Linked DNA regions of Oryctolagus cuniculus. The protein of the gene in region 2 purifies or fractionates together with the protein of the main gene of each other region. This does not show direct contact. Links are inferred from orthologs where the notes say so. Each region holds a gene or a part of one and is shown on either strand. Other genes may lie near its edges. The genes, in order: USP1, PHLPP2 and WDR20.

What was found.
Region 1: the proteins of PHLPP2 (region 2) and USP1 purify together in Homo sapiens (affinity purification with mass spectrometry; 3 studies listed by BioGRID and IntAct, with this or other methods). This does not show direct contact. The link is inferred for Oryctolagus cuniculus from reciprocal best matches to the Homo sapiens genes PHLPP2 and USP1.
Region 3: the proteins of PHLPP2 (region 2) and WDR20 purify together in Homo sapiens (affinity purification with mass spectrometry; 4 studies listed by BioGRID and IntAct, with this or other methods). This does not show direct contact. The link is inferred for Oryctolagus cuniculus from reciprocal best matches to the Homo sapiens genes PHLPP2 and WDR20.

Annotation. Positions count from the first base shown.
Region 1 is NC_091438.1:110,376,334-110,380,077, forward strand, and holds the start of USP1 (ubiquitin carboxyl-terminal hydrolase 1), read right to left. Parts: upstream 2,561-3,744; 5' UTR 2,060-2,560; intron 1,698-2,059; exon of another isoform or gene 1,558-1,697; intron 758-1,557; exon of another isoform or gene 618-757; intron 1-617. UniProt on the Homo sapiens protein: Negative regulator of DNA damage repair which specifically deubiquitinates monoubiquitinated FANCD2. Also involved in PCNA-mediated translesion synthesis (TLS) by deubiquitinating monoubiquitinated PCNA.
Region 2 is NC_091449.1:55,608,518-55,612,161, reverse strand, and holds part of PHLPP2 (PH domain leucine-rich repeat-containing protein phosphatase 2), read right to left. Parts: intron 1,410-3,644; coding exon 1,299-1,409; intron 498-1,298; coding exon 303-497; intron 1-302. UniProt on the Homo sapiens protein: Protein phosphatase involved in regulation of Akt and PKC signaling.
Region 3 is NC_091451.1:45,407,108-45,410,851, reverse strand, and holds the start of WDR20 (WD repeat-containing protein 20), read right to left. Parts: upstream 2,664-3,744; 5' UTR 2,507-2,663; coding exon 2,258-2,506; intron 1,576-2,257; exon of another isoform or gene 1,426-1,575; intron 1-1,425. UniProt on the Homo sapiens protein: Regulator of deubiquitinating complexes. Activates deubiquitinating activity of complexes containing USP12. Anchors at the base of the ubiquitin-contacting loop of USP12 and remotely modulates the catalytic center of the enzyme.

The DNA.
Region 1 (3,744 bases), on a different chromosome or scaffold from region 2:
AACCGCTTCTGTAATTGTAAATCCACTAACGCAGAAAACAATGCCTCCGACAGTAAACATTCTCGAACAAATGACAGCACGAACACTCAGCCCTATCAGTTTCAAGTTCTTTCCTTTCTAAGATGACAGGACTCAATTCCTATTTTTCCAGAAGAAACGTAAAACAATCCCGAACATCTCCGCTGAAGTTTTAAGACACGTGGCGTTCTAAATACTGAGGAAACTATACATGAAAGAAAACGCGCGGTAAAATTTCGCAATTGCCGTCCGAAGGCAACGTCAGGGCAATCAGTACTGCTTCTCCCTATCGGGCTCCACGGGAGAGGAAACCGAGAAGGCGGCCGTGCCCTTCACACACCCCGGGGGCACGGTGGGGGCGGCTGGCGGCGCCGTGGCCCGCACCGCGCTCCGGCCCCGCGCCCGTGGAGCCGGCCTGTGTACGCCCAGCCCGCACCTGCCTCCCCGACTGCAAGAGCCGCCGCGGAGCCCCGGCCGGCAGCGCGGCGAGGGTGCAGGACCGAAACGAAACGGTCCGGGGTCTTGCCCGCAGCCCCACTACGCTGCCCGCGGAACTTGCCTCCACGCAGAGCACCAACCCCTTCTCAGGCCCTCCTCACCTGGCCATGGCCCAAACGCGGTCCGCGGCGCTGACGCCGGCGAGTCCAGCCGGGAAGAGTGTGGGTGCGGCAGGTGAGTCCCTGGCCCGAGCCCGCAGGGCCCCCGACCCAAGGAAAAGCTTGGCCGGTCGCCCTCCCCGCGGGGGAGTGACCATCCACTCACAAGGGCGGGAACCCGGGCCGCCGCTCGGTCCTGCCTGATGCCTGCGCCCACTACATGCCCGGAGCGGCGCCTGCCCGCGCCCGCCCCGGGTGCCAAAGAGCGCACCAAGCCGCGGTCCCGCTCGCCGAGCGCCTGAACCGCTAGGGTCTCCCCACTCCACCGCCGAGGGGAACTTGGCGCGTTTTCCTCAGTCTCAGGACCCCCGTGTGTTAGCCTCCGCCCGCGCCAGCACTGCGATTGAAGGTGGCGTCCTTCGAAAATGCCGGTCCTCGCCTCCACGCTGCACAGACGCGAAACACCAGGGCCGCCCCGCGACCGCCCCTGGCCCCCGGCGCGCACGGGCTCCGGAACCAGCTGGAACGGTAGCTCCCCCAAGATCCTAACGGGTTCCGCACTTTCAAACACCGCAGGCACAGTCTCGGGCAGCTCGCGCGGGTCCTCGCTGAGGGCGCGCACTGGAGGCCTGGCTGGCGGGCTCGAGCCTCACACCCTTTTTTTTTTTTTTTTTTAACCATTCGTGCGCGCGAGTTACGAGTACGGGTCGGGAGACGGGACAGAGGCAAGATGGGCCGGGCCCCCTTCCTCAAGGAGGAGCCCTTAGGTGCTCAAATCCGCCAATCCGCGACGAAGCATCCCCAAAACCTCACCCCCTTCACTGCCCAGGCAGAGCCAATCAGAAGTACCCAGACAAAAGCTAGCAAATGGGCGGGAGAAAGAAATCCAGCCAATACCAACAAAGAAGACAGAAAGGCTCGGGCCAATCCTTATGAGACTTACACCGAGTTCCTCAGGCGCGGCTCCCCGCCTCTCGCTCTCATTGGCGCTCGCGTGCGCGCTTTCGCGGCCGACTGTTAAGAGTCTAGCTGTGCGTAGTGTTGGCCCGAGGGACGCCGGCGAGGGCGCGGCTTCCGGAGCTAGGCCCTCCCCGCGAGCCCCGCCCTCCTTTCTTGCGTGAACGCTCGGGCGGGGTTACCAGGGAGACCGGCTACGGGAAATGGAGGCCGCGCCGCGTCCTGCTCCGTGCGTGGGCTTTCTGTCACGGGCAGCAGCCCCGGCCCCAGGGCCGTCTAGAGAAAACCAGCGCCGTCACGGAGGACGGCGGAGCCTCAGCAGAGTGCTTTAGGGCGAGGCTCCTTCCTCAGACGCCGATCGCCTCACGGTGTCCTCTCGAGCCCGACCCGCCGTGGGCCACACAGCGGTTCCGACCCGAGCCGCCGCTCGGAGGCTCAAAAGCAGCGAAGCAGGCGGCTCGGGTGCCCTTTTGTGTTTGTGTGCTTACCTGTGCGGCGCGACCTCGGCGCAAGTGCTGAAGTTAAGCAGGAGAGATTTAGTCCAAATCCGAATGTTTCGGTTCTGCTGTGTGCCCGGCATTTTTCAAAACGCTTAGGACTGTGGCCTGAATGAAATACGTTCCTTGCGCTAAAGGAGTTGTACATTCGAGAGGAGACAGACGTTAAACTAAAAATGGGCACACACGATGGAAGCGACAGCAGGGGCATGCCGTTTTAGGTGGCATATTCGGGAAAGCGCCCTGCAGTTGACGGCTGAGCAGAGCGAGCCCGGGAGGGACCCAAGGGGAAGAATGGTCCCGGCGGCAAGAACAGCAGATACAAAGTCCTGGACGCGTTTGGTGTTTTGCAGAGAGGTGAGGTAGCCAGGCTCCTGAGAGCGTGTGAGCCTGGGTGAGAAGACTACACGCAGGAGATGAGCGAAACCGGCTGGGCCCCCACGCAGCAGGCCGGGGTGGAAGGCGCTGGGTGGTGCTCAGCCGGCAGGGGCAGGATTTGTGAAACAGTCCCCCCCCCCCCCCCCCCCCGCCGCGGTGGACAGACCTTTGACCTTCAAGAATGCAAGCAGGAAGCTCCACTAGGGGGCTGATTTCGGTGGCCAAGGAGTAAACTGGTGACTTGTGATAAATGGAAGTGCTCAGAACGTGAGATTCAAGAGATTATACATACATATACGCACATGGATATACATATATCCATACATATAGACACATAGCCATATACATGACAGAGAAAGAGAAAGTCACTGCCCAGATCTTAACAGCAGCTGAGACTGGGTCAGGCCAAAGCTGGAAGCTCCGAACGCACCCAGATCTCTCGCTTGGCTGGAAGGGACTCAACTGCTGGAGCCATCACCTGCTGCCTCCCCAGGTGCCGCCGCAGCGGGAAACGGGAACAGGAGGCCAATGGAGAGGCAAAGACAGGCACTCTGAGATGGGGGGCAGACATCCCAGTTGGTGTCTTAACCATTAGGCCAAACGCCTCCACTATATTTGAAGTACAGCCAACCAGCTTCGTTGAGTGACCGGAAGCATGGTATGGTAAGAAAAAAGAGATCAAAGATGACAGTCCCCACCCCCCCCAAGCAACCAGATAATGTTTGGTTTTCTGTTATACTTTCCCTTACCAAGTTAATGAAAAAGATTTCCTCAGAAGATGGAAAAAAGAAATAAGTATGAGGGTACTTCAAAAAGTTCGTGGAAAATTGAAATTAAAAGATAAGTCCATTTTGTGCAGAAAAAGAAATCCATACATAATTTTTCATTATACACATTTTCCTTGACCTTTTGAAGACTTCTCATATGCATAGATTTAAGAAACTGTTTGCCCCATAGTAAACTTATCTTTTTTTAAAAAATCCATATTTGAAGGCAGAGAGAGAGCTTCCATCTGCTGGTTCACTCCCCAGGTGGTGGCAACAGCTGCAGCTAGTCCAGGCCGGAGCCAGGAGCCAGGAGCGCCACCTCAGTCTCCCACATGGGTGGCAGGGGCCGGAGCGCTTGGGCCATCTGCTGCTGCTTTACCAGGTATGTTATCAGGGAGCTGGATCCAGAGCAGAGCAGCCAGAGTGCAAAGCAGGCGCTCATGAGATGCCGGCGTTGCAGGCGGCTACTAAACCAGCTGCACCACAGTGCTTGCCCCTAAACTTTTCTTTTAATTCCGTTTTTATGTGACA
Region 2 (3,644 bases):
AATAACAAGTACGCAAAACACATGAACCTAATCAGTGCTTGTTAAGTACTTAGAGGTCACAGACTCTCTGGAGAATCTGATGAAACCTTACCCCCTTCCTCCCTTCCTCCACACACATACATATAAACAATGCAGATGACTCCTGTGGCTCTTTAAAGAGCCAAAGTCCCCACTTCCAAGCCACAGCAGGATCACAGAAGGAGTGGGATCTGTCCTGGATCCAGATCCTAATCTTCTGGCTTACAGAGACTGACTTTCCAAAAGCAGAACTGAGTTAGGGATTATTCAACCCATCTGCTTACCTGTGAGACACCAAGAAGGTGCTCGCCATGAAAACGGTGTCATGTGCTGACTGCTGTACCTCTTCCAACAGCACGTCTGCCATCGTGCACTGCAGCAGGCGAGGGAGCTCCTCGTTCCGGTCGCCGTCAAACATGCCATACGCGGCTCCCACACCCTCTGCCAAGTTATCCATAGCTAGAGCAGATACACACAGCCTAGAGCAGAAACAGAAGAAAGACAATCATCAAAGAAAGTGTTTGGTAACAGATTATTCTCCAACTGAAGTTGGAGCAGAACAGCAGTAACTCTCAATTTACATGTGAGAAAGTCCCTAGAGAAAATAATCCAGCAGAATCTAAAACAGTGATGTCCTAAGGAAAGGCGTGTCTTGCCACACTCATGGGCAGTACATAGTTTTGCAGTGCTGCCCAAGGCTGGAAGATAATGTATTTTCTCATGGTAGTGATTAAGAACTGGATTTTGTCAAAACCCTTCAGCCCAAGAACCCCAAAGCACATCTGTAACTAGACAAGCCGGGTTTATTAGACCTTGCAGCAAGGGTGAATGCTAGTCCATGAAACCATGGGGCGTACTGGTAAGAGGATGTTGGACAGAAACGAGTATAAGATTTGGGCTTTGGTTGGGTCACTGGGCAGGGCTCTAGGAAGTGGAGGATCACACTAGGTTGGGTGCTAAGAGAAAGCAGGACGACTCCACAGTTGGGTATTTCAACTTTGTTGACAGGGAAGGAAATTTAACACAAGGATAAAGCTGTAATTGATAACCTAAGAAGCAAACACCCATGTTAGCCATGAGAGGAGGTGTTTGGTATTCTGTGGACTGCACACGCACATTTGTCTCACTTTAGCATAGTCTCAGAAGGATCTTATGTGAGCTGACATGCTGATATGCTTATGTGCAACAGAACATCAGGGCCTCACTAGGAGCACCAGAGACATCTGAGACACCAGGGGCTGCCAGTTCTTGAACTCAGTCTTCACAGTCAACACACTCACTTATTTCTCTGTCCTGCCATCTCAGCCAGTCCGTGGCTCCAGAAGGTTGATGTAATGGTAGAATCTGTGGTTGGCAAAGGTTTCTGATCAATTTTTAGTGTTGTGATATGGCTGTTGAGGTGAAAGAAGAGAAGATTAAGCCATATATTAGACTGTCTTTGATGAAAACTCTCCCAAAGATATCATGTGTTAAGATTAATTCTTTTCAAAAATTCTTTATTTACCTGAGAGAGCTGCAGAGGGAGAGACAAAGAGGGTCTTTCAGGGCTGGTGCTGTGGCATAGTGGGTAAAGTTGCCACCTGCAGTGCTGGCATCCCATATGGGTGCCAGTTTGAGCCCTGGCTGCTCCACTTCTGATCCAGCTCTCTGCTACAGCCTGGGAAAGCAGTGGAAGATGGCCCAAGTCCTTGGGCCCTTGCAGCCACATGGGAGACCTGGAAGAAGCTCCTGGCTCCTGGCTTTGGATCAGCACAGCTCTGGCCGTTTCAGACATTTGGGGAGTGAACCAGTGGATAGGAAACCTCTCTTTCTCTCTGCCTCTCTGTAATTCTATCTTAGAAAGAAAAATACAGAAAAAAAGGAGAAAGAAACAAAGAAAGGAAGGATGGAATAAAAGTCTTTCATCTGCTGTTCTACTCTCCAAGGGGCAGCAACAGTTAGGGCTGAGCCATGGGTGCAGAGGTCCAAACACTTGGGCCATCCTCTGCTGCCTTTCCCAGGCCATCAGCAAGGAGTTGGATTGGAAGTAGAGTAGCCAGGACACGAACTGGCACCCACTGGGATGCAGCAGCTCTATCCACTGTACCAAAATGCCAACCCTAAGGATTAATTCTTAAGTATTTATTTATTTCACAGGCAGAGTAACACGGGTGGTGGGGAGAGAAAGAGAGAGACAGAAATGGAGAAAGAGAGAAGGCTCTTCCATCTGCTGGTTCACTCCTCCAATGGTCAGAGCTAGGCCAGGCTGAAGCCAGGTGCTCAGAACTCCATCAGGCAAGTTCGCAGGGAGATGGATCAGAAGCAGACAGCTGTGACTCAAGCTGGTACCCCAATCTAGGATGCTAGCATACCAAGCAGCAGCTTATTTGAAAGGCAGAACAACAGAGAGGGGAGGAGACACAGAGAAATCTTCCATCCTGTGATTCACTCTCCAAATACCCACAACAGCCAGGACTGGGCAAGGTCAAAGCTAGGAGCCAGAGACTCCATCCAGGTCTCCCACATGGGTGAAAGGGGCCCAAATTCTTGAACCATCATCCACTGCCTCCTCAGGCTCTATTATCAGGAAGCTGGATTGGAAGTAGAGCAGCCAAGTGCCCCCACCCCCTAACCAGGAGGAAAAAAAAAAGAAAAGGTGCAGCAAGAAGAAATAGGGGCCAAACACTGTCAAAATTAATGCCATTCTTTTCAATCAAGATCTCAGCAAAACAAAGATTTCTATGCTTCAGTCATATCTACTTATTTTACACATTTTGATACAGGTACAAAGAACTCGTACATCTTACAGATGTTGTAATGCAATCTGTACCAACTAATATATTTATGCCTAATATGTAAAAATACCAGACATATGTTTGTGTGGTAGCCATGTAGTAGTTTTAACACAAATAGACTGACTACTTCACTGCTGCAAGGTGCAGCCCCTAGGGGCTGTGTAGACAGGGCTGGTCTGTGGCAGATACGCAGGGGTGAGCTGGAGCGCTCACCCGAGGGGTGTCCCCACATTGTAAGTGGGGGGTAGGGGTCTGTGGCTCAGCATCCTGCCTGCTCCCCATACTCTGCAGCTGTTAGAATGGGAGAAACAGCTTGGGGCGCTGTGTACAAGGTGTACAGACCAGGAAGAGGGCAGCCACTGGGAACACCCACTGCCCTCGCAACTTCCTGTGTTTTGTTTTGTTTTGTTTTGGACAGGCAGAGTAGACAGTGAGAGAGAGAGACAGAGAGAAAGGTCTTCCTTTGCCGTTGGTTCACCCTCCAATGGCCGCTGCGGCTGGTGCGCTGTGGCAAGCGCACTACGCTGATCCGAAGCCAGGAGCCAGGTGCTTCTCCTGGTCTCCCATGCGGGTGCAGGGCCCAAGGACTTGGGCCATCCTCCACTGCACTCCCTGGCCACAGCAGAGAGCTGGCCTGGAAGAGGGGCAGCCGGGACAGAATCCGGCACCCTGACCAGGATTACAACCCAGTGTGTCAGCGCCACAAGGCGGAGGATTAGCCTATTGAGCTGCGGCACCGGCCACTTCCTGTGTTTTGTGACCAGAAACAAATAAATTATTTTTGAAGGGGAAAAAAAAAGACTGACTACTGGAGAGAACAAGATCTACACAGTCCTAAAGAAGAGCAGGTAT
Region 3 (3,744 bases), on a different chromosome or scaffold from region 2:
TGGAAAAGCATCTGTACGTTACTATCACTTAGGAGTCGGCACAGTGGCGTAGTAGGTTAAGCCTCAGCCTACAGCACCACCATCATTGGTTCAAGTCCCGGCTGCTCCACTTTCCAATCCAACTCCCTGCTGATGGCCTGGGAAAGCAGTGGAAGATGGCCCAAGTGCTTAGACCGCTGCACTCAAGTAGGAAACCGGGAAGAAGCTCCAGACTCCCAGCTTCAGCCTGGCCCAGCCCTGGCCACTGCAGCCATGTGGGGAATGAACCAGCAGATGGAGGACCTCTCTCTCTTTCTCTCTCCCTCTCTTTGTGCTCTCTTTGTCAGTAACTCTTTCAAATAAATAAATAAATTTTTTTTCAAAAAAGTTACTCCCACCTCCCACATAAAAGTAAGAATTTACAAAAAAAAAAAAAAAAAACAGGTAAAGTGCTCAAACTATGCATATGAGGGCAACTTATGTATTTCAGATTTGTCTGGGGTTTTGTATTAGAAGTTACTAAAAATAACTTGTTTAAAATAATTCCTTTGAAGCTTTGAAAAGCTCTCTTAGTTTCACCCTTCAGTGAAGAGTGTCCCAATTTAAAAAAGGAGCACTAATATAACGATAATTTCAGGTGTGAAGACCTGTTATTATGGTGCCATCCAGGGATACCAGATCCAGATAAGGTTTGCCATTAAAATCCTTCATCAATACTAATCTTTCAAAGAAATTTCTTTTCAAATAATGTCTGCACTAGCACTGCTAGTGTCAATGAACTTGGTTTTAAGCACATCGCCCTTTCATATAAATACAGCTGTTAATAACCTAAAATCCTTAATTTATCTCCAGAGAAAGCACTGATCCTTGCAGTCCTAGCATGGATGTCAAGATGGCAGCTTCCTGTTGGACATCACTCTTCACGCCTGTTTAACTATAGCTTACATCTGCTAGTGTTTCAGGGCTCTCGAGCTCATTGCAGTGAGCTTATTATTAATTATAACACACACACACTGCAATAGTTCCTTTTTAAAGAGGGGCAGTAGAAACTAAGTAACTTACCAAGGTCACCCGACAAGCTAAGTTGGTGACAATGTTGAGAACAGGAGGAAAACTTGGGCTACCACACCTCAGACTTCCGGCCGAAAGCGGAGGGGGACCGCATACCCCACCGTCAAACCCAGCAGTGCACTAGCAAAGGCTCGCCCCAAGGGAAGGGACAACCTGCTCCATTTAGACAGGGCTGTCAGCTTCCCAGCCCCGGTAAGCAGGAAGAAACACGACCCTGGGTCCGGGTCTGTGAAATCACAGGGCCCGTCCGCTCGTGCCTGTGGCAGGCGCCGTTTCCACACTCACTGCACGTGTACAAACGGTGCTTTACCACGGTCTCCTCGCCCCGCCAGGAGCCAAGTCGAAGGCCACCTCTCAGGGAGGACAGTTACTCACACAGAGAAAGAAAAGCCCTCGCAAATCGCTGCTCTTAAAGAGATCGCTGTAAAGGAAGATCACAGACTCCAGAGTCCCTGCTGAGCCGCCCCAGGAGACGGGTCCTTCACAGCAGCTTTCAGGCACCTCCCTGCCCGTGCGGGACACAGTCCGACTTGTTGGACCAGGCTAATCCGGGCAGGCTCACACAGAGCCCCGCTGCACCAGCTCCGGCCACCGAGAACACCGATTCCAGCCCGCAACCGCGGCGCTCGGCCCAGCCCACCCCACGAGGGGCAGGACGACCCCTCCCCAGCAATCGGCCGGGAGGCCGCCCGGGGCGGGGCGGTGACAGCCGAGCTCCGCGGACGTTTTTGGAAACGGCGGTCGGGAAGTGTCAGTGCGGCCGCAGGTGGAGCAGCCCTGCGTGCCCAGAAGGTCCTTTCCGACCCGCTCCAGGCTGACAGACCCCTCCCCGAGCCCCGGCGGGACTCCCACCCCTCCGGGGAAGCCAGGCGGGCGGGCCGGCCACCTCGCCCCGCAGGCCCGCTCCTGGCCGTGTCAGCGCCCGGCGGACCCCGCCGGAGCCGAGGCGGCCGGCTCCCAGGCCTCCCAGCCGGAACCCCGCACGCCCGGCGCCGGCCCCCGGCCCCCACGCCCTCGGAGCGCCGACGCCACCACCCTGCCCACTCCCGAGCCCCCTTTCCTCGGGAGTCCCTCAGCGGAGTTGCCGGCCCACTCCAAAGTAAGAGCGACGGCCACCCCTGCCGGTCACCCCGGCCCCGCTGTCACCGCCCTGCCCCCGGCCTCCGCCCACGCCGCCGGCGGGCCCCGGTGACGCCCGGGTCGGTACCTTGCGGACCCCCTTGTAGATATAGAAGTAGAGCTCCCGGCCCACATTGAAGCAGAGGCGGTCGCCGTTGCCAGACTGGTCGTTGAGGTTTACGAAGGAGACGCGCACAGGGTTGGATCCCTGCGAGTTGAAGGGCACCCGGTTGGGCCGGCTGTACTCCGAGTGCGGCAGCAGCTTGTACAGACCTTCCCGGGTGGTGAATTGGGTCTTAATCTCGTTCATCTCCTTCCCTCCTCCCTCCGTCGCCATCTTGGAAAGCAGCGTTCATCCTGCCCTAAGTGCCCGGATCACGCCCACCGCGCAGGCGCCGTCCCCGGCGTTCGCTCTCCTCCCCCCGCCTCTCCCCTCTGGCCCCGCCCACCCGCGGGCCAGCCCCACGGAGGCGGGCCGAGGGGACGGGGCGGGCTTGTTTACGGCCCGACTGCGCACGCGCGCTGCCCCGGCGGCTCCACGCGGCGGGGCGTGCGCCGGCTCCTCCCCCGGGCGTCGTCTCGCGGCGCCGCGGCTGCGTCCTGGGGTCGCGGGCTCGGGGTGCCGAGGCGCTGGCGGGGCTGCGGGTGCCGCGGGAGCGCCGGTAAGGGAGAGCCGCGGCGGGAGTGAGTGAGGGCGGCCTCCTCGGCTGCTTCCGGCCCTGCGGCGCTGAGGGGAGGGCGCCGCGCCCCGAGGGGTCGGCTCGTGAGGAAGCCGCGGGCGGCGGGGGTGGCGCTCTCGCCGCGGGCTGGGGGCTGTCCCGCCCCGCGGGCCCGGAGGACCCTCGCGACCGGCCCGTGCCGCGGCCCGGAGCCCCTGCGGCGGAGTCGTGCGGGGGAGGACGGTGTGTGTGGACTGGCCGTCTGAGGCGTGAGGCGCGCGGGGCAGCGCGGGGAGCCGGATCATTCCTGTTGCTTCGTAGCTGCTTAGGCGCCCTCAACGAGATGAGCGGAATTGAGTTTAGAAATGCCCCACGCGGACCCGCGAAGTCCAGGTGTGCGAGGGTCGCGGTGACCGCGGACAGCCGCTGGCGTGCGCTAACGCGCTTCTAGGGTGACGTTCTGATGGCATTCCGGGGCAGAGCCAGTGCTTGCCGCACCGAGAATGACCAGTTCCTGCGTGCTGACGTCGTCGGGGGGTCACCAAGGAAGGGGGTTCCCCCTGGGGGGGAGTCAGAGCCGCCAGCCGGGGTTCACCCTGGGGAGGGGGGAGTCAGAGCCGCCAGCCGGGGTTCACCCTGGGGAGGGGGTAGTGTCAGAGCCGCCAGCCGGGGTTCACCCTGGGGAGGGGGGAGTCAGAGCCGCCAGCCGGGGTTCACCCTGGGGAGGGGGGAGTCAGAGCCGCCAGCCGGGGGTTCACCCTGGGGAGGGGGGAGTCAGAGCCGCCAGCCGGGGTTCACCCTGGGGAGGGGGGAGTCAGAGCCGCCAGCCGGGGGTTCATCCCTGGGGAGGGTGTCAGAGCCGCCAGCCGGGGTTCACCCTGGGGAGGGGGGAGAGGAGTGTCAGAGCCGCCAGCCG